3 linked regions of the Coturnix japonica genome follow. The protein of the gene in region 3 purifies or fractionates together with the protein of the main gene of each other region. This does not show direct contact. Links are inferred from orthologs where the notes say so. Each region holds a gene or a part of one and is shown on either strand. Other genes may lie near its edges.

The links.
Region 1: the proteins of UPF3B (region 3) and UPF1 purify together in Homo sapiens (co-immunoprecipitation; 16 studies listed by BioGRID and IntAct, with this or other methods). This does not show direct contact. The link is inferred for Coturnix japonica from reciprocal best matches to the Homo sapiens genes UPF3B and UPF1.
Region 2: the proteins of UPF3B (region 3) and RNPS1 purify together in Homo sapiens (co-immunoprecipitation; 5 studies listed by BioGRID and IntAct, with this or other methods). This does not show direct contact. The link is inferred for Coturnix japonica from reciprocal best matches to the Homo sapiens genes UPF3B and RNPS1.

The regions. Positions count from the first base shown.
Region 1 is NC_029543.1:2,803,737-2,811,822, reverse strand, and holds part of UPF1 (regulator of nonsense transcripts 1), read left to right. Parts: intron 1-1,028; coding exon 1,029-1,171; intron 1,172-1,550; coding exon 1,551-1,640; intron 1,641-2,172; coding exon 2,173-2,340; intron 2,341-2,725; coding exon 2,726-2,906; intron 2,907-3,308; coding exon 3,309-3,470; intron 3,471-4,054; coding exon 4,055-4,139; intron 4,140-4,295; coding exon 4,296-4,394; intron 4,395-4,577; coding exon 4,578-4,695; intron 4,696-5,540; coding exon 5,541-5,700; intron 5,701-5,803; coding exon 5,804-5,922; intron 5,923-6,174; coding exon 6,175-6,339; intron 6,340-6,576; coding exon 6,577-6,691; intron 6,692-6,879; coding exon 6,880-7,023; intron 7,024-7,143; coding exon 7,144-7,357; intron 7,358-7,565; coding exon 7,566-7,683; intron 7,684-8,086. UniProt on the Homo sapiens protein: RNA-dependent helicase required for nonsense-mediated decay (NMD) of aberrant mRNAs containing premature stop codons and modulates the expression level of normal mRNAs.
Region 2 is NC_029529.1:12,007,113-12,015,843, reverse strand, and holds the start of RNPS1 (RNA-binding protein with serine-rich domain 1), read left to right. Parts: upstream 1-2,895; 5' UTR 2,896-3,078; coding exon 3,079-3,080; intron 3,081-5,734; coding exon 5,735-5,890; intron 5,891-6,166; coding exon 6,167-6,358; intron 6,359-6,589; coding exon 6,590-6,692; intron 6,693-7,478; coding exon 7,479-7,632; intron 7,633-8,070; coding exon 8,071-8,212; intron 8,213-8,731. UniProt on the Homo sapiens protein: Part of pre- and post-splicing multiprotein mRNP complexes. Auxiliary component of the splicing-dependent multiprotein exon junction complex (EJC) deposited at splice junction on mRNAs.
Region 3 is NC_029519.1:15,384,544-15,391,458, reverse strand, and holds the end of UPF3B (regulator of nonsense transcripts 3B), read right to left. Parts: intron 6,444-6,915; coding exon 6,255-6,443; intron 5,772-6,254; coding exon 5,620-5,771; intron 4,932-5,619; coding exon 4,619-4,931; intron 3,747-4,618; coding exon 3,600-3,746; 3' UTR 2,758-3,599; downstream 1-2,757. Other genes in the region: SEPTIN6 (septin-6), read right to left, coding at 299-325; RPL39 (60S ribosomal protein L39), read right to left, coding at 1,647-1,695, 2,306-2,409, 2,624-2,626. UniProt on the Homo sapiens protein: Involved in nonsense-mediated decay (NMD) of mRNAs containing premature stop codons by associating with the nuclear exon junction complex (EJC) and serving as link between the EJC core and NMD machinery.

The sequences.
Region 1 (8,086 bases), on a different chromosome or scaffold from region 3:
TGAGAGGTTTGTGTGTGCTAAGAAACACACACAGAAACAGCCAAGAAGATGCTATTCAGTGTTGAGCTGCTGCAGTTCCCTTCCACCCCCAATGACTGTCAGTCTGCAGAGATGTGGTTACTATGGCAGAATGGAACTGGAAGCTCAGGAGTCCCAAGGGACAATGGCTGCTTTAGTCAAGCTAAAGTCTGCTTTGTGCCATTCACACCTGTTGGTGCTCCTTCCTGCTGGTAAAAGCACTGCGCTGAGTATTGCCAAAATGGAGTTATTTTTAACGTGAGTAAGACTTGATGTGTCAAACGTGCTGACGCAGAGCTTTGTGGTGCTGGCAGGTTGTGTCCTCAGTGCAAAGAGGGAACACCTGTTCTGTGTGCTGTGTTAGCCATGTAGAAAGGCATTGCTCTGAGAACTCGGGCTGTGTTAGTTTGAATGGAGTTTGTGTGTTTCCTGGGTAACTTAATGAGACGTCTTTGTTTTTTATGGTGGCTAAAACAATTTCTGAGTAACACAGTAGGGATTGTCACACCTGGATTATTTGGTTGCATGTCATACAGGTGATACACACAGAGCAAGTGATGCTGCTTAGAGAGCTGGGCAGTGTGCTGAGAGCCAGCTTCTGTTCTTTCTTGCTCTATTTTAGTTAGATATGCATTGGAACTGGTCTTGGTCCCCTGCTCCCTGTTGTCTTCGCTTCTGGAGTCTCTGAGGAGGAGGATTGGTTTGGTGGATAGAGAAGAAGATAATCCTCAGAGAAAAATTGACTTTTGTCATTCATTTTTCCTATTTGTGAACTGACGCTTCATGATTCCTGTCAAATAGGAACTAATGAAGCAAGCATTGATTATATATACAATGTATAAGTGATTATTTTTGTTATATGTGGTGTGTATTTCAAACTCTTATCGGTTTTATGTTCTTCTGAGCTTTTTCCTGAGTTAAAGATAAGTTTTTACATAACAAAGTAGGGATTACCATTTGTTCTGAACATATTTTGATAGTATAACCTAAGCACTGACCTTGTACTGCAGGTTAATGGACCTGATGGCATTCTGCAGAATGGAGCAGTGGATGATAATGTAGCTAAAACCAGCCAGCTTCTGGCAGAGCTGAATTTTGAAGAAGATGAAGAAGATACTTACTATACAAAGGATCTTCCCGTGCATGCTTGCAGGTGAGAGCTGATCGTTTCCTGAAGGTGGGGGCACTGAGTGCAATGTGCATGGCTGGAATATTAAGAGCTGGCAACCGCCTGCTGCTAGGCTGGGAGTGCCCCCTGCTGAGCTCCTGCGTGCTCTGACCGTGCTGCATTGCTGAGCTCTTGGGCCTTTCTTCTAAGGACTACAAAGTTGAGCCATCCTAGAAATGGTAATGATAGAAATAGTTAAAGAGCTTGCCTCAGACCAGATGTTTAACTCATGTGTTAGGTGCTTCCAACAACTCTCATGATTCCTAATTTTCACTTCGCCTTATTTTGTGCACTTCTAAATCTTGTATTTGCATTTTCCTATTAACAATTTCCCAACCACTTCCTCATCTCGTTTCATTTCCAGTTACTGTGGTATCCATGACCCTGCCTGTGTGGTTTACTGCAACACCAGCAAAAAGTGGTTCTGTAATGGGCGTGGAAATACATCTGGCAGGTAAATGATTAAATGATGGAAATTAGATGGGCAAACTTGCTTTAGTGTTTGTTTTGAAATGGCATAATGGGTGTGACTTATATTTTCCACCATGATTGAAGTCTCGTGACTTGAATGTGAACCTCCAACCTCTACCTTTTCCTGTTATGAGCTTACAGCTTCATCTCAGTGGAACCTGAATTACTTTTGTGACGTGAGCTCACTGCTTCTTCCCCCTGTGCTCTTGCAGAGCAGCGTAACTCATGCTGTGATCTCTGGAGCGTCAGGAAGCTGCTTCCAAATAACAATTTCTTACACATTGCCCCTTCTTTCACATTCACTTCAAAGTATTTATGCACTGGAAAAACACTGAAACTGTCAGCAGTCATCTTGGCCTGGATGAAAAGAGCAGGGAATTACTAACGTCTGCCAAAGTATGAATAGGTTTTTGTTTATCTCTTAATAATGACTGAGTTGCTATGTTACATAAAGTTAGAACTAAATCTGGTTTTCATATTGACTGCTTATAAATACACATCCTCTCTGGTTTCAGCCACATTGTTAATCATCTTGTGAGAGCAAAGTGCAAAGAGGTGACTCTCCATAAAGATGGACCTCTAGGAGAGACTGTCCTGGAATGTTACAACTGCGGATGTCGTAATGTGTTTCTCCTTGGCTTTATTCCAGCTAAGGCAGACTCTGTGGTTGTTTTGCTGTGCAGGTGAGAGAATGCCTTTATTACAGTGTTTGTGTTAAGTATTGCACAACTGGATTTCTACATGACAGCCATCAGCTTTCACTTTGTACCTCAGTGTTTTATACTCTCCTTTTTATCCCTACGTCATGTTTAGTATCTTAGATGCTGAGTTTTTTCAGTCCTAATAATACAGAAGAAATTCTGATCAGGATACCTTGCCTCTGCAGTGTTGAAATACCAAATGAAGGAACTGATGAATTGGCTCAGCAGGCTACTAGTGTTGGCTCTCTTCTTTTAACCAAGATGCTTAATATGTTTGAAGAATACATTAAACATGTTCTTATACTTTGGTAGATTCCCTTACAGCTGTTTCAAAGTAATAACTTTTTCCAATATTTTGGTTGTGCAGGCAGCCATGTGCAAGTCAGAGCAGTTTAAAGGATATTAATTGGGACAGTTCACAGTGGCAGCCTCTTATCCAAGATCGCTGTTTCCTTTCGTGGCTGGTAAAGATTCCATCTGAGCAGGAACAGCTGAGAGCACGTCAGATTACAGCTCAGCAGATTAACAAACTGGAAGAACTTTGGAAGGTATTTCCCACATTTCAGATACCATTTAAGTTTTACTTAGTGCTGGTTTTGTGTCTTATAAAGGAGGGACAAGGCTGTTTTAGCAACAGTGTAAAGCAGGAAACGTAACCTAATATATATGAGGTTCAAACCTTAACCTTTTGAGAAGCAATACAACTGGGAATTTACTAGAGAATTCAGGAGATCACCTGTTAAAGTAGGAAAGCTTCATCTTTGGGTTCTGTCAGTCAGTCTGTAGTCAGTCTCTGCTTTTTGAGAGCTTTTTCTGTACATCTGTTAATGCAGAACAAACTTGACTGCAGGTAGTTGAGCATGACATAATATCTCAGTATAGTTTTAGCGGTTTATTGTCACTTGTTTCAAAGTTTTAAGCACAAACAAGACTTGTGTGTTAAATTCTAGGAAAATCCATCCGCAACCCTTGAGGACTTAGAAAAGCCTGGTGTTGATGAAGAGCCACAGCATGTCCTGCTTAGATACGAAGATGCTTATCAGTACCAAAATATATTTGGTCCTCTAGTCAAGCTTGAGGCAGACTATGACAAGAAGCTTAAGGAGTCTCAGGTAACCTGCTTGAAAAGTGGGTGGGGGGGACTTCTGACCAGTTCTCTCACTTAATAGAAGGAAAAACTAAAATGAAGTATATGTAATATTACTGTAATAAAGACCTGACAGTAATTAACAGTAGTAATGATGTGTGATCACAGGGAAAAACTTGAGACAACACTTAAGGTCTTCCATCTGTTCTGAATTCCAAGTTTGTCTTTCCTAGAATCATATTCTTTGTCAGAGCTGCTTCTTGGCCACCTTCTGTTATGTTCTTTTACTCATAACATGTAGATACCTTTTATCAGTCACTTTCCAGTCAAGCTTGTAATATGTTGGGGACACTTAATGGTTTTTTATAAAGCAAACACAGGTGGTGATTACAACATATTTCTCATTAACTAAACATGTTGTCTTTGAAACAGAATTAACTTCTACAGGTGGTGTTAATACAGTCCATAATAATAAATACAGGCATTTGACGGCAGTGGAAGAGCAAGTTTTGTATTTCTCCACTGTTTTGAAGTTTAGGGCCATGAGAATTGTGGTAGTTGGTGAACAGCTCCTTAAGAACATAATATTTGATCTTTCTTTATTGTTAGACCCAAGATAACATCACAGTCAGATGGGACCTGGGCTTGAACAAGAAAAGAATTGCTTATTTCACTTTGCCAAAGACTGATTCAGGTAATGACAGCTCAACTTCATGTTTTTTTTACCTGGTGAATAACATCACTATTTAAAGAACTGTAATGCTCTGGCCTGGAATATAAGATAGTCCTGTAGGTTTTCTGCACTGTGGGCTGGTTGTTGTAAATGTTCTTTTTTCTCTTTGCTTTGTAGATATGCGTCTTATGCAAGGAGATGAGATCTGCTTGAGGTATAAAGGAGACCTGGCCCCATTGTGGAAAGGAATTGGCCATGTTATCAAAGTTCCTGATAGTATCCTTTACTTAGTGAGCCTTCAGATGAGGCTAAATGAAATGTTAAATTATCTCTGAGGAACCCCTAAATTGTGTACATAAGTAATTTTGGAACTATTGTAATTAGTGGGTGTCTACTTTAATAAATCAAAATCGGGAAAAATAAAATTCAAATTTTTGCTATAGATTACTACTTAACGAGGTTCTACAGATTATGGTGATGAGATAGCCATTGAGCTGAGGAGCAGCGTTGGAGCCCCTGTGGAGGTTACTCATAACTTCCAAGTGGATTTTGTGTGGAAGTCTACTTCATTTGACAGGTATTGAAAGCACTTAAACTGAGCAGATGAGTTCATAATGAGTTCAGTAGGTGTATATTTTTTCTTCTGACTTCAGTGGGATTTTTGAACACGAGATGATGTATTGTTTCATTATGCTCGTAATCAGAGGGAGTGTATTGAGTTCATCAAGTTCACGAACGTGACACCTGCTTCACAGAGCAACAGCTCTAATTGTTGTTAGAGGTGGTAATGTTCAGCTGAATTCCAAGCTGTCACTGTTTCTCACTTCGAAAGCACATTCAGGGATTTTGGAAATACATTCATGTAACATGCAAATCCAAGGGGAAAAATTAGCCTCAAGCTTAGTAGCATTTAGGATTTAAGAAGAAAAAGATTTGAGGTTCTGTTTGTTAATGCAGTCATGAAGGGATCTCTGTTCTTATTTGCTCTCCTCAACTTTGAATAACTTTGACAATCTCAAGGAAACTGAATCAGCTGTGGGGGCTGTGGGCTTGAGATGTGTCCATACTGCGTGTTGTGAGATAGGAGTTTGTTTGTTGTCATGAAATAGAGGGACTGAGTACAGCTTTTATTCAGATCTTGCACCTAAAACATCCACTGCAAACTCTGTCAGAGTCCAGTTCCATGGCTGGTTTGTGGTTATACTTTGTGGAATGCACACTGGAGAAACAAAGATCTGTGTTCTGGAAGTCTAATAACTTTGGGGCTCATAATTCTGCTATTAGATGCTTTGCACTGTCTTTTTTCCCAAAGCTGTGTTTTAATATGTCTGATGGCTGATTAACTTCTGTTAGACGTTTATGCATAATTTCATCTGAGGTAATCCTGATATTGTTATGTTTTTTGTCCTTTGTTCATTTCAGAATGCAGAGTGCTTTAAAAACATTTGCTGTGGATGAGACTTCGGTGTCAGGATACATCTATCACAAACTGTTAGGCCATGAGGTGGAAGATGTAATTATTAAATGCCAGTTGCCAAAGCGCTTTACAGCACAAGGACTTCCTGATCTCAACCATTCTCAGGTAACCTCATCTTCCTTTTTTCTACATGCAAAGAATATGATAAAGGATTTATGACTGATGTTGAGTGCATGGAATACTGAATAGCATTACAATAATTCCATAGGTTTATGCTGTGAAGACTGTCCTGCAGCGTCCTCTGAGCCTTATCCAGGGTCCCCCTGGTACTGGAAAAACAGTGACATCAGCTACCATTGTCTATCATCTGGCTAGACAGGGCAATGGGTAAGAACTTCTCTGAATCTTTATGCCTGAGCTTACCTCATTATTGGTCCAGAGAATCAGCTCACATTTAAACACTTAAGCAGTCTGTATCCTTTGAACTGGGAAGATTTTCTAGAAGCGTATTATTCTGTGAAGTTCTGAGCTTAAATCAGAAGATGTTCATCAGTAGCTTAATTTTAGGGTCCTTTTGTGCAGGGAGAAGCTTTTAGTTCATTGGCACTTACTTTTTTGCCTTCTTTTTTTTCCCCCAAGGCCTGTGTTAGTGTGTGCTCCGAGTAACATAGCTGTAGATCAGCTGACAGAGAAGATCCATCAGACTGGTCTGAAAGTGGTTCGGCTGTGTGCTAAAAGCCGTGAGGCAATTGACTCACCTGTATCCTTCTTGGCACTGCATAACCAGATCAGAAACATGGATAGGTAAGAAATGGGTGAGAGGAGAGGGGAAGACACCCCCAAAACCCCCAAACCTCAGGTATAGTGATGGATGAGGTTGTTTTAACAGCTCTCTGACAGTGACTGTATATATTTTGCTCTGTGCATAAGTCATTTTTAGTTTGGCAAACACATTTTCTTGTTTCTGTGGTAATATGCAAAGAGCTTCAGTGTGAGCTGGAGTTGTTACTTAGATTATAATGCAAAATTCCATTTTTGCAGCATGCCAGAGCTTCAGAAGCTGCAACAACTCAAAGATGAAACTGGAGAACTGTCATCTGCTGATGAGAAACGCTACCGTGCACTGAAACGAACAGCAGAGCGTGAATTGCTCATGGTAAAGTTCCACTAGATACAATAGTCCTGTTACTGCCTTCTCCCACTGGAAGCTTAGTTGCAGTTTGTTGGCAGATATCAGTGTGCAGTTTAATTTTTGGGGAGATCCCTGGAATGATATTCAGTGACCTTCTGTTTGGAAGTGTTATCTGTCCTGCTTGATTGATTTCGGTTGTGTTTCTGTCTCAGAATGCAGATGTGATCTGTTGCACGTGTGTGGGAGCTGGTGATCCAAGACTTGCAAAAATGCAGTTTCGCTCCATTCTGATCGATGAGAGCACCCAAGCCACTGAGCCAGAGTGCATGGTGCCAGTTGTGCTGGGAGCAAAGCAGGTATGAGCCATCAGATGTCCTTAATGTGTGATTTATAAATAGGTGAAGTAGTAATTTAGGCAGAAAATTCAGACTTAGGTATCTGCGTTGTCATCAGTGGTGATTTTTTCTTTTCCACAGCTTATTCTCGTAGGTGACCATTGCCAGCTTGGTCCTGTTGTGATGTGTAAGAAAGCTGCAAAGGCAGGCCTGTCTCAGTCCCTGTTTGAGAGGCTGGTAGTGCTGGGGATTCGTCCCATCCGCCTGCAGGTGCAGTACCGCATGCACCCTGCCCTGAGTGCTTTCCCATCCAACATCTTCTATGAGGGCTCGCTCCAGAATGGTGTCACTGCAGGTGAGTAAGAATGGCATTTCCTTCAAATTCCTTTCTCTACAGTTCATTAAGGATCGAAGGAGAAATTCTTTGATCTAGATTAGTTTCTTTTAAATTCAATTAGGAAGGGAACTGCTTCCACACTGATGGTTTTGAGTCTTTGAGGTATTGCTGTGAAAGTGGATTTTTAGTAAAGCAGTACTGACTTGATCACTTTTGTGTTCTTCAGCTGACCGTGTGAAGAAAGGGTTTGATTTCCAGTGGCCGCAGCCAGATAAGCCAATGTTTTTCTATGTTACACAAGGACAGGAAGAAATTGCCAGCTCAGGCACCTCTTACCTGAACAGGTAAAAATCGATACTGAGATAAATTTACTTAGGAATACTGATAGTATCAGTGTACAAGCAATTAAGTGCCCCATGTGAGAGGGATGAATTTAAAACAGAAGTAAAATGACTGCATTTGCACCCAGGAAGTGCTGGTTGAGTCCCATTTCAAAGCTTGAATTCCAGTAGCTCCTGAAACAAAGTCCTAAAGGGAAGATGTTAGAAGAGGAGACGGTAGCACAAGAGAGCTTTGGAGGGGTGGGAATTTCATTCGTTTTTTCCTATCTGTTTTTTCTGCACATCCAAAGTTTTCCAAAGAGCGAGCTTCTAACACTTTGCTCCTTTGCATTACATGCATTTATTTGTGTGCCTGGAAGGAAGAACCAGACCAACTTACTAAACATATCTGCTGTGATATTTTTAA
Region 2 (8,731 bases), on a different chromosome or scaffold from region 3:
CTGAGACCGACAGCACTTAGAGCAGTTGCTGGTACGTGTCCCTCCCCTCGCTGCCCATTGCCTACAGCTCCATTGTGGGGTTAGGTGGCCACAGCTTGTGACACCCCTCTGCTGTGGTCATTACATGTGAATGTAACAGAAACAGAAATTTACCTCTATAGCCATTGCTGTCATCTGCCTTGAAGTGAATCTAGCCCTGCAGTGGGGGTTTGCTCCTGGGGAGCAGTTTAAGTGCCCACCAGCAGTGCCTGGTCCCATCAGAGCTGCCCCTGAGAAGAAGCAGAGCCCACCCTCAGCAGTGGCCTTGCTGGGTTTGCCTTCCCACCAGGACGTGGCCCACCAGCACGTGCTCCTGCTCCTCCTCCTGCAGTCTCTGTGTGCTTCCTCTGTTTCTGGGTACCAACTTAAGTCCAGCCTCACTCTCTCTCCTTCTGTTCCCCAACAGCTCCGGTTTCCATGGCGTGTGGTGGCAGCTTGCAGAACTTAGCAGCATTGCAGCCTTCCTGGAGGAGACCTGGAGTGAATCAAGGGGTTTGGTGGGGGAGGGAGGGGTCAGGGCATCTTTATGGCATACCCGGGTGAGGGGAGGAGGAATACTCAACATTGCAGTTCCACTTTAGATAGGGCAAAGAGCTTGCCCTGTGCTGAGGCCAGGTCAGGTACGTTTGTTGTTTCTTGAGAATAAACACTCCATCTTGTTTGTAGAGCTGCAGTGTTGATCTAATCAGGAATTCACTGGCAGCATCCAGCACAGCTGCTGGGGCTGGCAGGCATTGCCCTGCACCAAGAGAAAAAAGCAATGCCTAAAAACAGAAGGCAGAATCTCAAGAAGCACCAAATGATTTGGCCTGGCCAGTTTCTTTTTGACTTAGGCACTGCAATAAGTGCCTGTTTCGGGTACCTTGCAGAATGCAAAGCTATTCCAGGACCTGAGGACATCGATAGCTGGCAGCTGCCTGGCTTGACCCTTCTGGCTGAACTGAGATGGGGTTTGCACACACACTGACACCGGGGGCTGGCAGCACGTAGCTCCATCAGGGGGTGCCGGGCAGAAGCTGTTGCCTGCTGCTTCAGTTCAATATCTGCAGATTCAGAGAGGAGCCAGTGAGTGTTGGGGCTTTGGAGGGTTTTCCCTCTCCAAAGCCCTCTCCCATATGGCAGAACTTGAAAGTCAGAGAAGTTGGATGTGACCAGTGACACTGGGAGACAATGACAGAGGCTCAGTGGGGAAGAAGAGTAAACAGTAGGTAGAAATGCTTTGGGTGCTGATCTGTAACCCACTAAACCCCATCCACTGGCTTTTCAGTCCCTTCTTTGCAATGTAAAGGCTGCCCCGAAGGCCTTGCAGCGCTCCCTCATCTGCTGCGAGTGCTTAACATCCTTGTGCTTCAGTCCCTGTGATATTTAGTAATTTAGTCTGCCAGGAAAAATAGAAAAAAACACCCCTACAGATCTCACAGTTGACAGCCATTCCAGCCAGCAATGGGGGAAGGAAAAAAGCTGAAGTGGACAAATAGTGAGGATTTCCTCGGGATTCATCTAGAATGGATGCAGATGAGCAGCATAAAGGTGCTGGAAATAGCCTCTAAGCAGACAATGGCTGCCAGGGTCGCCCTGTGAGTGGTGCTGCCCTTCCAGGCAGACTCCTGGCAGCACACACAGCCTGCAGCTCCTGTAGCTCTGCCCCAGCTCACCCAGTCTTCCTAAGGCCCAACATTTAATCCTAAGGGTGGGAAGCGTGTCCTCACTGGGGCTGCAAACTCCAGCCTGAATACTTCACCTTGCCCCTCGGATGAGCACATAACCCCTCACCCAAGCAGCAAATGCCTGACATCTCTCAGCCTACAAGGGACAGGCCAGCAGCCCTGAAAGCGCTTTGCTGGAAGCAGCACGGAAGTCTCCAGCTTCAGGAGGGCAGTGCATGTTAGACTTGCTTGCGGAAGTAGCTTTAGAAGCAGCACACGCAGCAGCCTGCGCTGTAGAAGTAGCAGTAAAATGAAAAGATCCTGTGAACACAGGGAGGAGCTCAGAGATGCCTCTGCTGCAGCACATACACGGCTGAGCACAGCTCAGCACAGCTGGGTGCTGGCACAGGCTGGGGACAGCCAACAACCTCACACCTCCCATGGCCATCCAGGCACCGGCAGTTGGGTACCCTGGCCTTGCTTCAGGGTGCCTGGAAGTCTTCCCAAGGCAGCCTCCAGCAGCACGTGTCTGTGTGCACAGCAGAGTCAGCCCGTTCCTTGTATGAACCATGCGTGATCGGAGCAAAACCAATAAACACTGAGCTCTTAGTGCCTCCTGCCTGCTGGAACTGCTGACCTGAGCCTCTGTGCTTCACCTCCCCACGTCCCCTCCCACTCATTCCATGTCCCTGGTGGCACCTTGGCCGCCTCCACGCAGCCTTGGCTGCGCACAGTGCCCATGTCACCAGTGGGACGTGGTGCAGTGTCTGTCACCTCAGCCATGATGTGGAATTACCAACAGCAACAAGTACAAAACCACGACACCCCCCAAAGCAGTGGGAGCTCAAAGCTTTCCCCTCGTGCTGTGGCCCATTAAACATCATTAACTATGAGCGTAAATCCGCTTCTCCCACCCCAGTGTCATCCCCAGAAGCGCTGGCACTTGGTCTGCTGTCCCATGCAGCATCTCAGCTGAACCTCCATCTGTTGTATTCTCTGGGGGGCTGGTGGCCATTCCAAAGCTGCACCCACACCCACTGAGATCTTATTTCCTTTAAGAGCCAGTTCAGCCCTTGCTGTGCTCTGCTGGAGCAATAGGGAAAGGCTCACGTCCAGCTGCTGACACTGAGAGCCAGCTATGCATTGGGAAGGTCACCATTCGTCAGGAGCCATCACGGACATGATGAGGCGGACATGGCGGTGCCCATAACGGCACGGGCCGCCCACAGACCGTGACAGCAGGACAACATGGATCCCCTGCCCGGCCCCTTTAAGGCGCCCACCTCCCCTCCTCCCCCCTGGTGACGTCATCACTGCTCGCCACACGTTCGCTCTTCCCGCTCGTTCTGCGCCAATCGCGCGCGCCGGGCCCGGAGCGCTGAGAGCGCCGAGGATGTGAGTGTGTTGGGGCTGAGCGCCGTGCGGCCATCGGCCGCCATCGGCCTTTCATCCGCCTCCATCCGCCTCCATCCGCCCCGCCGCCGCTTCGGGGCGGCACCGCCGCATCTCGGGGCTGCCCAGGGGAGCGGGCGGGAGCCGACGGAGGGGATATGGATGGACGCGGGGGATAGGGATGGCGCCGCGGCCTACCGGGGGCGGGGAGGAAGGCGGGAGGCCGGGCCGGGGCGGAGCCGGGGCTGAGGCCTGCAGCGGAGTTGGGGCCTGGTGGTCCCGGCGCCCGGCAGCGGCAGAGCAGCGAGTCGGGAGCGACCCGCGGGTCTCGCTGTGCCCGGCGTCGTTCCGCAGCCTGAGAGCGGCTGAGCCCCGGCCGCTCTGGGCCCCGCGCTGCCATGAGCTGGGCCGGGGGCGTTGAGAGGAGCTGCCGAGCGGGCTGACCTTAAATCACGCGAGGAAAACTTTGCTATAGTTGTTGTTCATATAACTATAAACAAGCTGCCGTTGCAGGGCGCGCCTGCCCTGCAGGAAGGCTGAGGGAGAGCCCAGGTCGTTGCCTTGGCTGCAGCTCTCTGTAAGAATAGGTCTCATAGCTGACTGTGTGCAGGGAATGGGCAGCTTAATAGAGTGCCCCGAGGCCGGCTGGGCTGGGCTGGGTGCTGCACAGACACTGAGATGTTGGGGATGTCGGGTTTGGTTTCCATTCTTGGAAGGGTGGATGTTGCTTAGAAGTTCCTTGTGTTGTTTTAATGTGCTCATGCTGCGGTGTTATTCTTTATGGAGGTGTGTTTTAGTGAATGCCTGAGCACCTACAAGTGAAAGTGCCCAGAGGCTGCATCTCCCAGGCTGATCTTTCCAACTAAAACTGTCCTGGGAAAGGTCTGTGTTCATTGGGTGAAAGAAGAACACTGGTTACCTTAAGGGCTGCCTAAAAGCAGCCTTTCACAGGAGGTTGCTGGATGTGTAAGCAGCATTTGGCTGTTTAGTCTGGTAAGTGCCAGCCCTGTGGGTGCACACAGGAGTGCTGCTGATGGTGCTGTTTACATGCAGCTCTTCCCAGCTCTCCAGCAGCAGGCAGGACATTAGCAAAGCACTTGTTGGGCTTCTGAGCTCTCACTTCCCATCTTGCAGAGAGGTGGAACTGGGTGATCATTAGAGTATGTGATAGATGCAGCCCTCTCATAGGAAATGTTTGGAATTGAGCTGTCAGAGTTCAGGTTTTACATGTAAACAGTTAATAGTTACACATGCAGCACACTGGCACACACGTTCATTCTCTTCCAATAACTCATTAATGTATGTTCGTGTTCCTCTGGGCATGCACAGTTACACTGAGGGTGGTTGCTGGTTGTATGCCCACTTACTTTGTCCCCATTTTTCCACCATCAGTTCCATCACTGACATTTTTGATTCACCTGGAGCTGGTTTTCCCCAATTTTGCAAACGTCCATTGCTTCTTAGGCCATAATGGGCAACTTCCAAAACAACGTGTGTGGAAATCCAAGGAAAGCGTCCTTGCCCCTGGTGAAATACAATGACCAGTGGTCTGTCGTGACTCCAGTGCTGCTTATGAAGGGGAATTGAGAGAAAACAAGGCTGATCACACACCAGGCAAAGCAGAAGTGGAGAGTTTTAGGACTAGTGCTCATTGATTCCTTTTGCTGAATTAATATATTGCTCCTCAAACTAATATACTGATCTCTGTTGCTCAATGAACCAGCCTATATTGTTACTCAGCAGCCATCTCTTCCTGCCAAGCATGTGCTTTGCTGCACAGGGTGACTATGGAAGAAACCAGAGCTTCCTCTGGAGATGAGGATGTTGTCAAGAGGCAGGAGCTGCATGTGTGCCGTGTGTAGGAGATGAATGTCCTCTGTGTGCCTTCAAGGGGAGCACATAGCGAGGGTCTTTTGTACTTCTGTGAATATCACAATTTGTAACTTTAAACACGCATACAGGTCTGTATTCCATGAAGGTTGAGCTGGCCCAGGGGCTGGATGTAACTGCCATGCAGTGCTGTGCCTGGCTGCAGTGCCCTGGAGAACACACTTGTCCTCTGGTGTGCTGCCACTGGTGCACAGCAGCTCTGCTCTTCTGTGTCTGTTCATCTTGTTTCTGAACACTCTTACCTTGTCACTTGGCTGCTCTGTTGCTTTCAATTAGGGGTCACTTCTCAGAAGCAAGGGGTTAGAACTGAGATTTGGCACAAGTGAGGCCTGTTTTGCTTTGGATACCTCTGAAGGGGAAACAGAGTTAATGGGAATTAAAAAGAAGAGTTTGCTGGGTCTTAAAGAAAATAACAAAAAATCCAGCACTAGGTAATCATTCCAGATTTTCAAGGCCTGCTGGAAGCGGGGATGCTGTAGGGTACTGGGGCTTTCCCAGTGAGGGTAAGGAGTTGAAAATATCTCTGTGGGTGAACTTACACATGACAGTAAGTTCTGTGTGCTGGACCTGCTGTCCGCAAAGCTGCTACTCTGCAATGTAACACATTTTCCTTTTTCCTAAAAAGCTCGAACTTACCTAATGCTTTAACTCTGCTCTTTTGGTGTCTTCAATTACATTTAAAGTTCAGTGTTTTGTGTTGCTGTTCTGTTCCTTGTTTGAGTGTGTTTTCCATATTAAACAATCCCTTCTGCCATGTATTCTTGAAGGGCTCCCTCACCAACCAAACGCAAGGATAGGTCTGAAGAGAAATCAAAGGACCGATCCAAGGACAAAGCAGCCACTAAGGAATCGGGTGAAAAGGATCGTGGTCGGGACAAGACGCGCAAAAGGCGCAGTGCTTCCAGTGGGAGTAGCAGCACCAGGTAGCTACCATTACAGGCAGTAACAAATACATGTTTTCAGAGCCACCTTTTGCTGACTTCCACACGGCTCAGATTTACACAACCTTTGAATTGCATTGGTCACAATGGAAAGATTAAAGGAAGGGGTTTTGACCGTTGTGAAGTATGGTGGAATTAGTGAGCTATGGAGAGTCGGTTTTCATTGCTGTAACTTGCAGTTGCTTTCTGTCTACCAGGAGAAGAGCTTCAGCCATTCTTTTTCTGGGTATTCCACTCATGTTTTGCTTCCTTTACCAGGTCCCGCTCCAGCTCCACTTCCAGCTCAGGATCCAGTTCCAGCACTGGTTCCAGCAGTGGCTCGAGCTCCTCTTCTGCCTCAAGCCGCTCTGGGAGCTCCAGCACCTCACGCAGTTCAAGTTCCAGCAGCTCCTCTGGATCCCCCAGTCCGTCCCGACGGAGACATGACAACAGGAGGCGGTCCCGCTCCAAGTGAGTTCATGTTGTCTTTAGGAATTCCTACAGAGCAGGTTCCTTGTGCAATACAAGGTTGTGATCAAACAGATTTTTACCAAGGATGGTCTGCATTCTCCGTAACTTAGAGATGTGAATTTTGTTAGAACAGGCATGTTTCTATTAATGGCAGTCAAAATGGATGCCAGCTTCTAGTTCTTGTCGTCTTGTTTCCCCTGAAAACTGTGAATGTTTTCATGTCCAAATCAGGTCCAAGCCACCGAAGAGAGATGAAAAGGAGCGGAAGCGGCGCAGCCCATCACCCAGACCTACAAAAGTGCACGTTGGGAGGCTCACTAGAAACGTCACCAAGGTAATGGCATGTTCTCCTGTAATGCCACGCAGGTGCACCCCTGTGGGCGTGTGTTGGTGGCTTTTTTTAAAGCCTTCAAGGTTTGTTTTGTTGCTGGTGTACTGCCAGCACATTGCTGTTGGAAATGCTTGCTTTGTGTCCAAACTGATGAGCGTGGAATGCTTCAGTAGAACTTCCTCAAGTCAAATTAACTGTGGGCTTGTGTAATTCAGTAGTGTTAAAAGTTCTGTCTGCCTTATTGGTACCCGAGAGCTCCACCTTCCTAGGAAGAAAGCTGTAGAAGTCAGTACAGCAGTAGAAATCACCTGGGAGGCATTAAGGACACCTGGGGGGTTCACCAAAAGGAGCTTCAGGAGAGCTGGACTGGCTGGAGTTGTCTTTGCTAGAATGTAGTTTAAAGGTCTGCAGAAATACAAGTTTAGGGTGCTGAAAAAATGCTATTTAAAAACACAATATTAAGAATTGCACCTTAAGACTTTCTAAGTGAGGACACAACTTCACTTTCCTAAGGTCCCCAGGAAGGTTTTTACACTAGTGCAGCTTTTGTAGCCTGTGGTGGTGTTCAGCCAGTAATTCTGTTAAGGATTAGAGTGATCTGAAGTGAAACAGACATAGATGTCAGTAGAGGATGTGGTAATCTCAGTGTCCTTTCCACACCTGATCAGTGGAATATATCTCCTGCAGGTGGCATTGATTCAAAGCTGATGTGGTGCTGTGTGCTCTGTACCAGCCAGAGCTGCTCAGTGATAGTGCTGTACATCCTTAAGTTCTGCTCTTTTTTGGCAGGATCACATCATGGAAATTTTTTCCACTTATGGAAAGATTAAAATGATTGACATGCCAGTTGACAGGCTAAATCCACACCTCTCTAAAGGCTACGCTTATGTGGAGTTTGAGAACCCAGATGATGCTGAGAAAGCCCTGAAACACATGGATGGAGGTAGGTGTCAAATGCTGCAAGGAGGCTGAGTGCTTTGAAAGAAGTTTTTGGATTTGATGTGAAAATGAGATGGAGATGATGGGCTGCCTTTTGGGGAACTGATCTGACGTGCTGTCATTCTGTTTTCAGCCCAGAGGGGCTTTTGTATGGTCTCAGGACAGGTTGAAAAGAAAATACAGAACTATTAAAATGATAGTTTTGTTTTTTTTTTCCAAACAAAATATCATTTAAATCTTTGTGAAAATCCTTCCTGATCCATGTCTGGTGGGATACTTGGTGAAGAAGTCTGGTGTGTGTGTGGTTTGGTCAGTATAACTTCAGAGTGTAGTGGAAATAGGAGCACGGGGTCGTGCTGCTTGTGTCAGAGCTGTGAATCGCTGTCACTTGGTTTGTTGGTGCTGGCAAACACTAACTTTATTTTTGTGACTTTCTGAACAGGGCAGATCGATGGGCAGGAGATCACTGCCACAGCTGTACTGGCACCACGGCCCAGACCGCCGCCTCGGCGCTTCAGCCCCCCCAGGAGGATGCTGCCCCCACCCCCCATGTGGCGCAGGTCACCCCCTCGCATGAGGAGAAGGTGAGAGCTGTGGCATTTCTTATTTCCTTCTTGTTGTAACAAGAATTTGTCATGAAGTCCCAGTGCCAGGACAGCTTCGTCTCATTGGAGTTGATTGTCCACTCCAAATGACAGTTCAAAACAAAGCAGTCACCTTCTGGGTGTCAGTTGAACTCAGATTGTTCTTAATATTCCATTCCTGGGACCTTGGTGTCACACTGGTGGCTGTACAGACTAATTGTAGCACTTTATCTTTAGAGCTGAGCTTCCTGTGAGAAGTGTCTGTGGTGCTGTGTGAGCTGTGTCAATACTGAACAATATTTCAGGAGCCAAAGTCTCAGATGAACCTTTCAGATCGAGGAGAGTCTGACTTAGAACAAACTTGTTTGTTTTGTGTGAAGCAGAAAATAAGATTCTTGTCTATTCTTTGGATATGAAGCAGCCTTTCAAGCTGTGAAGCAGAGGGTGGTAGCTAGAAAATCCCTGCTGGGATCTTGCTGTTTAAGTTGCCCTTTTGCTTCCTGCGGTTTGCTGTCTGTC
Region 3 (6,915 bases):
GACGGACACAAAGGCAGAGCAAAATAGAATGGTCTCAATGGATCGCAACCGAAGTGCCGACACATCCCGCCGTGAGCCGCACACACAATCGCAGTGGAACGCTTCTCCACACGCGGACCCTGCGGCACCCCGCGCCGTTCCCCGCTCCCGCTCGGCAGGGCCGTACCGCAGCGATACGGGCGGGCACTACGCGGGGCCACGGATCCCGCCGCTCCCCTCACGGTTCCCCCGAACCCCCTGGACCCTCCCCGCGTTCCGCCCGGTGCCCGCGGCCCAGCCCGGCCCGTCTCGCTCTCACCTGCCGCGCCACCTCGGCCGCCGCCATCGCTGCTCGCCCGCCACACGGCCCGCCCCGCCCCGCCCGGCTCCGGACGCGCCCACCGCGCCGCCTCGCGGGGGGGAACCGCCTCGTCGCCTCACACCGCCAGCTCCGCCCGAGCCGAGACCCCGCGCCGCTCCGCAGCCATATTCCTGCCCGGTGCCGCCGGTCCCGGCGCCGCCATCAGGCTGCGGGAGGCGCGGGGGGACGGGCACCCCCCGGCAGATGGCGGTGGTGCGGGCCGAGCTGCAGGCGGGGCCGGGAGGAGGACAGCGGAACCGCGCTTGGGGAGCGCTGAGAGGGCGGGCGGTGTCCGTAATGGTGTGTGGGAATAAGGGCGGCTATAAGGGCCTGCTCAGCCTGGATGAGGGCACTGAGCTAAGCCGGCAGATGACACCATGTTGGCAGGTGATGATCTGGCTGGAGGCAGCAGGGCCATACAGAGATGTGGACAGGATGATGGCAGGGATGAGCTTAACGAGACCATCACTACAACCACAGGCAGCACCACAGGCCTGGGGCAGAGCGGCTGCACGGAGAGAAGGGATCTGGGAACATGAGGTGACAGCCACAGAATCACAGAATGAGCCGGGTTGGAAGGGACCTCAAGGATCATGTAGTTCCAACCCCCCTGCCTGGCAGGGCCACCAAACATACACCTTTACTAGATCAGGTTGCCCAGGGCCCCGTCCAACCTGGTCTGGAACACCTCCAAGGACGGGGCATCCACAACCTCCCTGGGCAGCCTGTTCCAGGACCTAACCACTCTCCTAGTGAAGAACTTCCCCCTAACATCCAACCTAAATCTTCCCTCTTTTAACTTAAAAGCCAGCTGGAAAGGCTTGGGGTGTTCCATGTGTGGAGACTGGGGGAGAACTGAGCCCAGCCAGCACTCACAGCTCCACAGAAAAGTGGAGAATACGGGATTTTCTAGGAGATAAATCCCTGCCCTGCCCTTGATGTGTTCTTCCCTTTCTCCTTTCCACCTTCATAAATGAAGCTCAGCTCTGCTGAACCCACTCCACCACCAGGACGGCATACACCAAACCAGCCGATTCATTCAGGTCCATATTTATTAACAAGCCCGTACACTGTTAATACTTATGATTCCTGAAAGAAAAAGAACGCTAATAGAACACAGTCTTCATGTTTCAGATGCCAAACGCTTTAAGATTGTTCCTGTTGATATCATGAGCCTGGCCTGGCCCATAGCACCGCAGTGCGGTCCTACAGGAGGAATGTCTTGAGGGCTGTTATCAGCATTTGGGGTCTATCGATCTGACGCAGAAAGACCAGCGTTATTAGAGCTCCTGGGAGACAGTCTGTGTTACAAGCCCAGTTTGGTCCTTCTCCAGTGCCTCCTTTTGGAGTTGTACCTAAGGCAAAAACATCAGTTAGCAAAACACACACAACTGAGCAGCCAGGTGGACTGAAACCACCTTTAATGAGCTCAATAATCAGTGAAGGATTGCCATCATGCTACGGCGTCAAGCTGCCAACAAAAGTCAACTCTGGACTTTCTCTCCTCTTCTGGAGAGGAAAATACCCCCACGCACATCCTGCCCAATGAGCATTAAAGCTATTGCCTGGAGCCTAAGGCATACACATGATTTGTGATGATGAGCAGCATATGGAAAGTACACTTCTATTCGTGTTCATGTTAAGGACAAACAGCCTCACCGACACAGAGGTGAAACCAAAGGCAGCGTTAACAGGGTTACTCTGAGCAGGGGAATGGCAGTACTCCCACAGCAGGAAGCACTGCAATTGCAGCCTGCTATAGCACACAGCTTGGAAGGTAAAGAAGCATTTAAGTGCCAGGAGATGAGAAATAAGAGATTAGGCTGGATGATATCTATGTGCCCGTGTGGAAGCTGCATCCGTGCATGTAACACCTTTGAGTACGTGCACACTGTTACCACACCAACGAGGGTCCTGCGCGCTGCTGGCCCACAGCATCTCCACCAGCACCAGCCGATCCATTACCTGATCTTATTGCCCGTTTTCATGCGAATCCATTGCGGAATGGGGCGATTTTGCTTCTGCTTCTTGGCGAGGAAGCGTTTGATCTTGAAAGTCTTGTGAGACGACTGCAAAACAAAGGGCCGGTCAGCGCGGCGGGCCCGGGGAGCTCGGCCAGGCCCCGGGAGCTCGGCCAGGCCGCACATCGACTCGATGCTAACCAGCGCCCTCCCGCCCCACCAGAACCCAGCCTGGCCCCGCCGCGAGCCCCGAGCCAGCGTCCGGTGTGAAGCGGGCAGGGAACACCGCGTCCCGGCCCCGGATGGCAGCGGATGGCCTCACCATAGCGCTGCGCGGCCCGGCGTCCCGGCGATGGCGGCTGCGGAAGAGGCGGAAGGGGCGGGATGAGGGCGGGGCGGCGGCGCATGAGCACAGCGCCCCCCAGCGGCGCGGCGGAGCATGAGCACTGCGGCAGCGAGTGATTGCGGAGCTTTATTGGGCCGAGTACAAACGCGCTACGGATAAAGGAGAGAGCTTAAAGGAGCCGCGACCGGCCGAGTCTCTTTCCGGGCTGTCAAACAACACCTGAAAACAGAGGGAAGATGAAGCACAGACCGAGGACAGCGGCTGGGAAACGTTTCACGCTCGAACAGAAGGGGATGCTCTGTACAACTACATCTGATCAAAATAAGCATTTCAGTGTTGGTCGACTTTTACAAAGGAATTTCAAGCAGTATCAGTATCCCATACCAAGCCAGCTTAGTCATACACTCCAACTTAACTCTCTCTCGAGGAAGGGCTCTCCCCTCCTGAGCTCACTGTGCAATTCCAGATGTTCTCCCTTCCTACCTCACCCAGCGGCACACCTGGCTGTGCTACTGCCATCAACGAGCTGTCGTTGCTTTGGAAGGAGCACCACACAGCTTAACAGCACACCACTGCTAGCTCGCTCTGCTTGAGAGCATCGTACAGTGGTTCCAATGGCTCTATAGTAAAGCTCTGCATTAGATCCAGGTGTCATCTCCTCCCAGCTGCAGGACTCATTTATTATCATACTTAAGGCCACAAAGTCTTTCTACTTTGCAAAGGTTCTCTTCTCCGTTGTAGTTAGATGCTAGGAAAATAAATTCAAAGAACTGAAAATACAATGAGAACATTTCAAATTCCAAATCTACAACTGAGGTTCTTTAGCCAGAAACATCCAACAGCGCAATGCCCCCACTCCTCTTCCTCTGTTCCTTCTTCGCTTCGAAGGCACTTCTGGATTGCGTAGTACAAGCTCTTTGGCTGCACAGAACACATAAGGCCTGCGTGCTGGTCACTCCTCTTCCCTCACATTACTGCTCTCACTCTCTTGTTTCTTCTCTGCTCCCTGATCTGTGGACTTTGCAGCACTGTCTTCATACTGACACAATCTGCTTCTGCTTCGGGCTCCAGGCTGGTACAGCTGCATTGCTGGACGATCCTGAAATAAATCAAAACTATTTAGACCCCTTCAGAGCCCCAGCACTCTCAAGGTTATAATGACAGCAGTAATATAACAGAAGGCTCAAATTCAAACCCTTCAGACTGTTTTAAAATATATTATTCCACCAGGGCGGCAATGCAAGTTCAACTGCCTCGAATCAAGGTTGCCCCTGTTCAAGCCACAAAGAACACCGCACCTGCTTGAAGTTATTGGTACTTTACTTCTATTTCTGAATAGAAATATTCAGAGCCAGAATAGGAGGAAGGTCTGGCTCTTCCTCCTGCAGAATTCAGACCAACTTTGAAGTTCCTCCAAAACCTCTTCTATTTGTACCCAACAACGTCCTAGGTGACACATAAGACTTACATAGCAATCCCTTACGTACTTGTACTGCAAAAGCAGACCTGCACAGCACGTATAACTGAACTCAAAACATTTCATCAAGAATTTATTCTTAGGATCTTCCATTATATTTGGCACGTAACAGCCTTGTCCCTGTTTTGGAGGAACCTGATCAACTGCTCTCCTACTCCAAGATACCTTTTCAGGCACATACATCAAAAGATGCAGATTAGTGATGCTGTACCAACACCTGCCAACGGGCTGGATCTTTATCAAATGAAGTGGGATCAAGGTATTTACAACTGAGCCCACTGCCTTGGCTTAATTCCTGTACAGTGATGAGGGGAAAAAAATAAAATCAATGTCTGAAAGCTTAGTAAACAAATGGGCAGCCTTTCTAGCAGTTTGTTACATTAACAGGGAGAACTATGACAGAAACAATACGGTTCTTTCCTCAAAGTGCATTTATCCTAAAAACACAGATCGGCCCCTGTGAATTAACACACGAAATTGAAGAAATACAGCACCTTGTTTCTGATCCGATCCCTCTTAATTGTATCCTCTTTTTTATCATCTTTGGTTACTTTCTCAGATTTGTCCGTGCCGCAGGTAAAGTCTGTAAGATCACTTTTCTTTCCCTTATCTCTGAGCAAGTCTCTCTCCTTTTTCACCTCTTCCTCTTTTCTTCTAAAAACCTTTTCTTTCTCAAAGCGTTCTTTCTGCCTCCGACGCTCTTCCTCCTGGCGTCTCAGTTTCTCCCTCTGTGCTCTCTCATATTCTCTGTCTCTTTCAAAATCTCTATCTCGATCCCTGTAGTCCTTTACACACTCATCTTCCGATCTGTATGAAAACAAAACTGAAGATGAAGCTCAAAAGATTCAGCAGAGTTGGGAGATCAACGTAATACTGCTGTAAATTTGCAATATGAAGACGACAGACTGGTAGGTTCTAGGTTTGGGAAACTGTCCTAACCCAAGTCATGCACGATAACCAGAGACGGCACCAAGTGCTGACATTTCTTAGCCTTCTGGTCACATAGCTGGCCGAGTCTCCACTGGCTTCCAAAGCATCTAAAGTTCTCTGCCACACGTGGCAGAACTGCACCCTGAACAGATCATGAAGCTGCTGAGTATTAGATTTCCACCTTGCCCTTCTACAAGACTTAAAGGGACTAGTAACTGCGATATGCCTCTCCTCTTGCCACAGTTATCATTCTTTCATTGCCAGGATTGTGCTCTCAGCCTGCTGTAGGTCCCCTACACCTGGGCTTCTCTTGTGGAGTTCCTAGAGAGAGGTGCAAAAGAAACCTTAAAGTTTGTCCACTAGTGAAGAAATGACGTAATTCACACATCTTCTTACAACCACGGGGATGTTGCACTGCCACAGGAAACACATCCCACACCTTACAGCAGAAAAATCACCTGAAAGGGATTTCAAAACACGGTCAAGGCAGAGCAGCCTGACCCTCGGTACGATCAGGAAACACGTTATATATACACATAGATATTTATAGCAAGTACTAAAATACTTTTTTGCCTTCTCTTCTTTTGTCTCCCCATCAGATCGTTTGGCAGATGCACTACTCGCATTTTTTTCCTCCCTCAGAGTCTCTTTTTCCAGTTTCTTGGATTTTTCTTTTTTCTCCAAGTCTTTCTCATCTTTTTCAGGCTTCTTAAGCAGCTACAAAGAAAACACAAGTCTCAACTAAAAAGCTCACTCTAATACATATTTGTCTGGCACAACACTGAAATTGCATCAGGGGAACCACAGCCCAGTAAGGAATGCACATTAATTTTACTGCAAACTGCAGTACTTTAAAAGCTGGAGTGTATGAGTAAGCATCATCCACACAACATATTGGATTTTTTTTTCCCTTAAAACACACGTTAGAAAGCTTAAAAATAAGTCTCTATTTCATAGTAAAATCACGATTTTGTTCACCACGGCATGTACAAGTCACGTGACAAAAGCTTTAAGTATTACTATGAAGCGTTACAGCACATTAATTTTTACAATGCCTACTATTAAATATTACAAAAAAAGTGGTAATTTACGAACACCGAACTCATGTGATTCTTCACACAGAGCACATTTTGAAAGACTTATATACAAATAATAGGGGAAAAGGAATGTAACAGTTTATAATAAAGAACTGTTCTAGACCTTAATCTTTGGTTCTTCTTTTGATCTGTCTCTTTCTTTTTCTGGACATCTGTCTACTTTCTTCAGTTTTTCTGCTTCCTTTCTCTTTCTTCTCTCCTCCTCCTTCCATTTTCTTCTTTCTTCTTCCCTTTGTCTTTTTCTTTCCAATTCTCTCCTCCTCCTCTCCTCTCTCTTTTCCTCTCTGAGCCTCTATGTGTGTCAAAAACAAAGAAACGGTGTATCTCCGATCTAGAAAACATCCCTTTAAGTCCCACAGGGTATTTTGCTATGAAGTGATGGAGTATTCCATTAGAAAGTAACTCATCTCAGAACTCTCCCTATTACACAAATACAGTTCTCTCTATTATACTATTGTGAACCTGAACACATTACAGCAGTGACATTTTAAAGCACAGTACAAGTCAAGATTTATGGCAGGAAAAGAGACTGGAGACTCAGCCTTTAACATTCTAATTTCAATTAAACCTGTTTCATCAGTGACCTTCTGAATTGCTAGACATTAAAACGATATTATGTGCTGGGAGAATAATTATCTACAAGGACCTCAATCAGAACTGCATTAAAACACAAGTATTGTAATGGGATCTGGTTTGGCAGTGCCACAGAGATGTCCAGCATGGTGCTGGCTGTGACCAGGACATACAAAACATCACTGTAATTA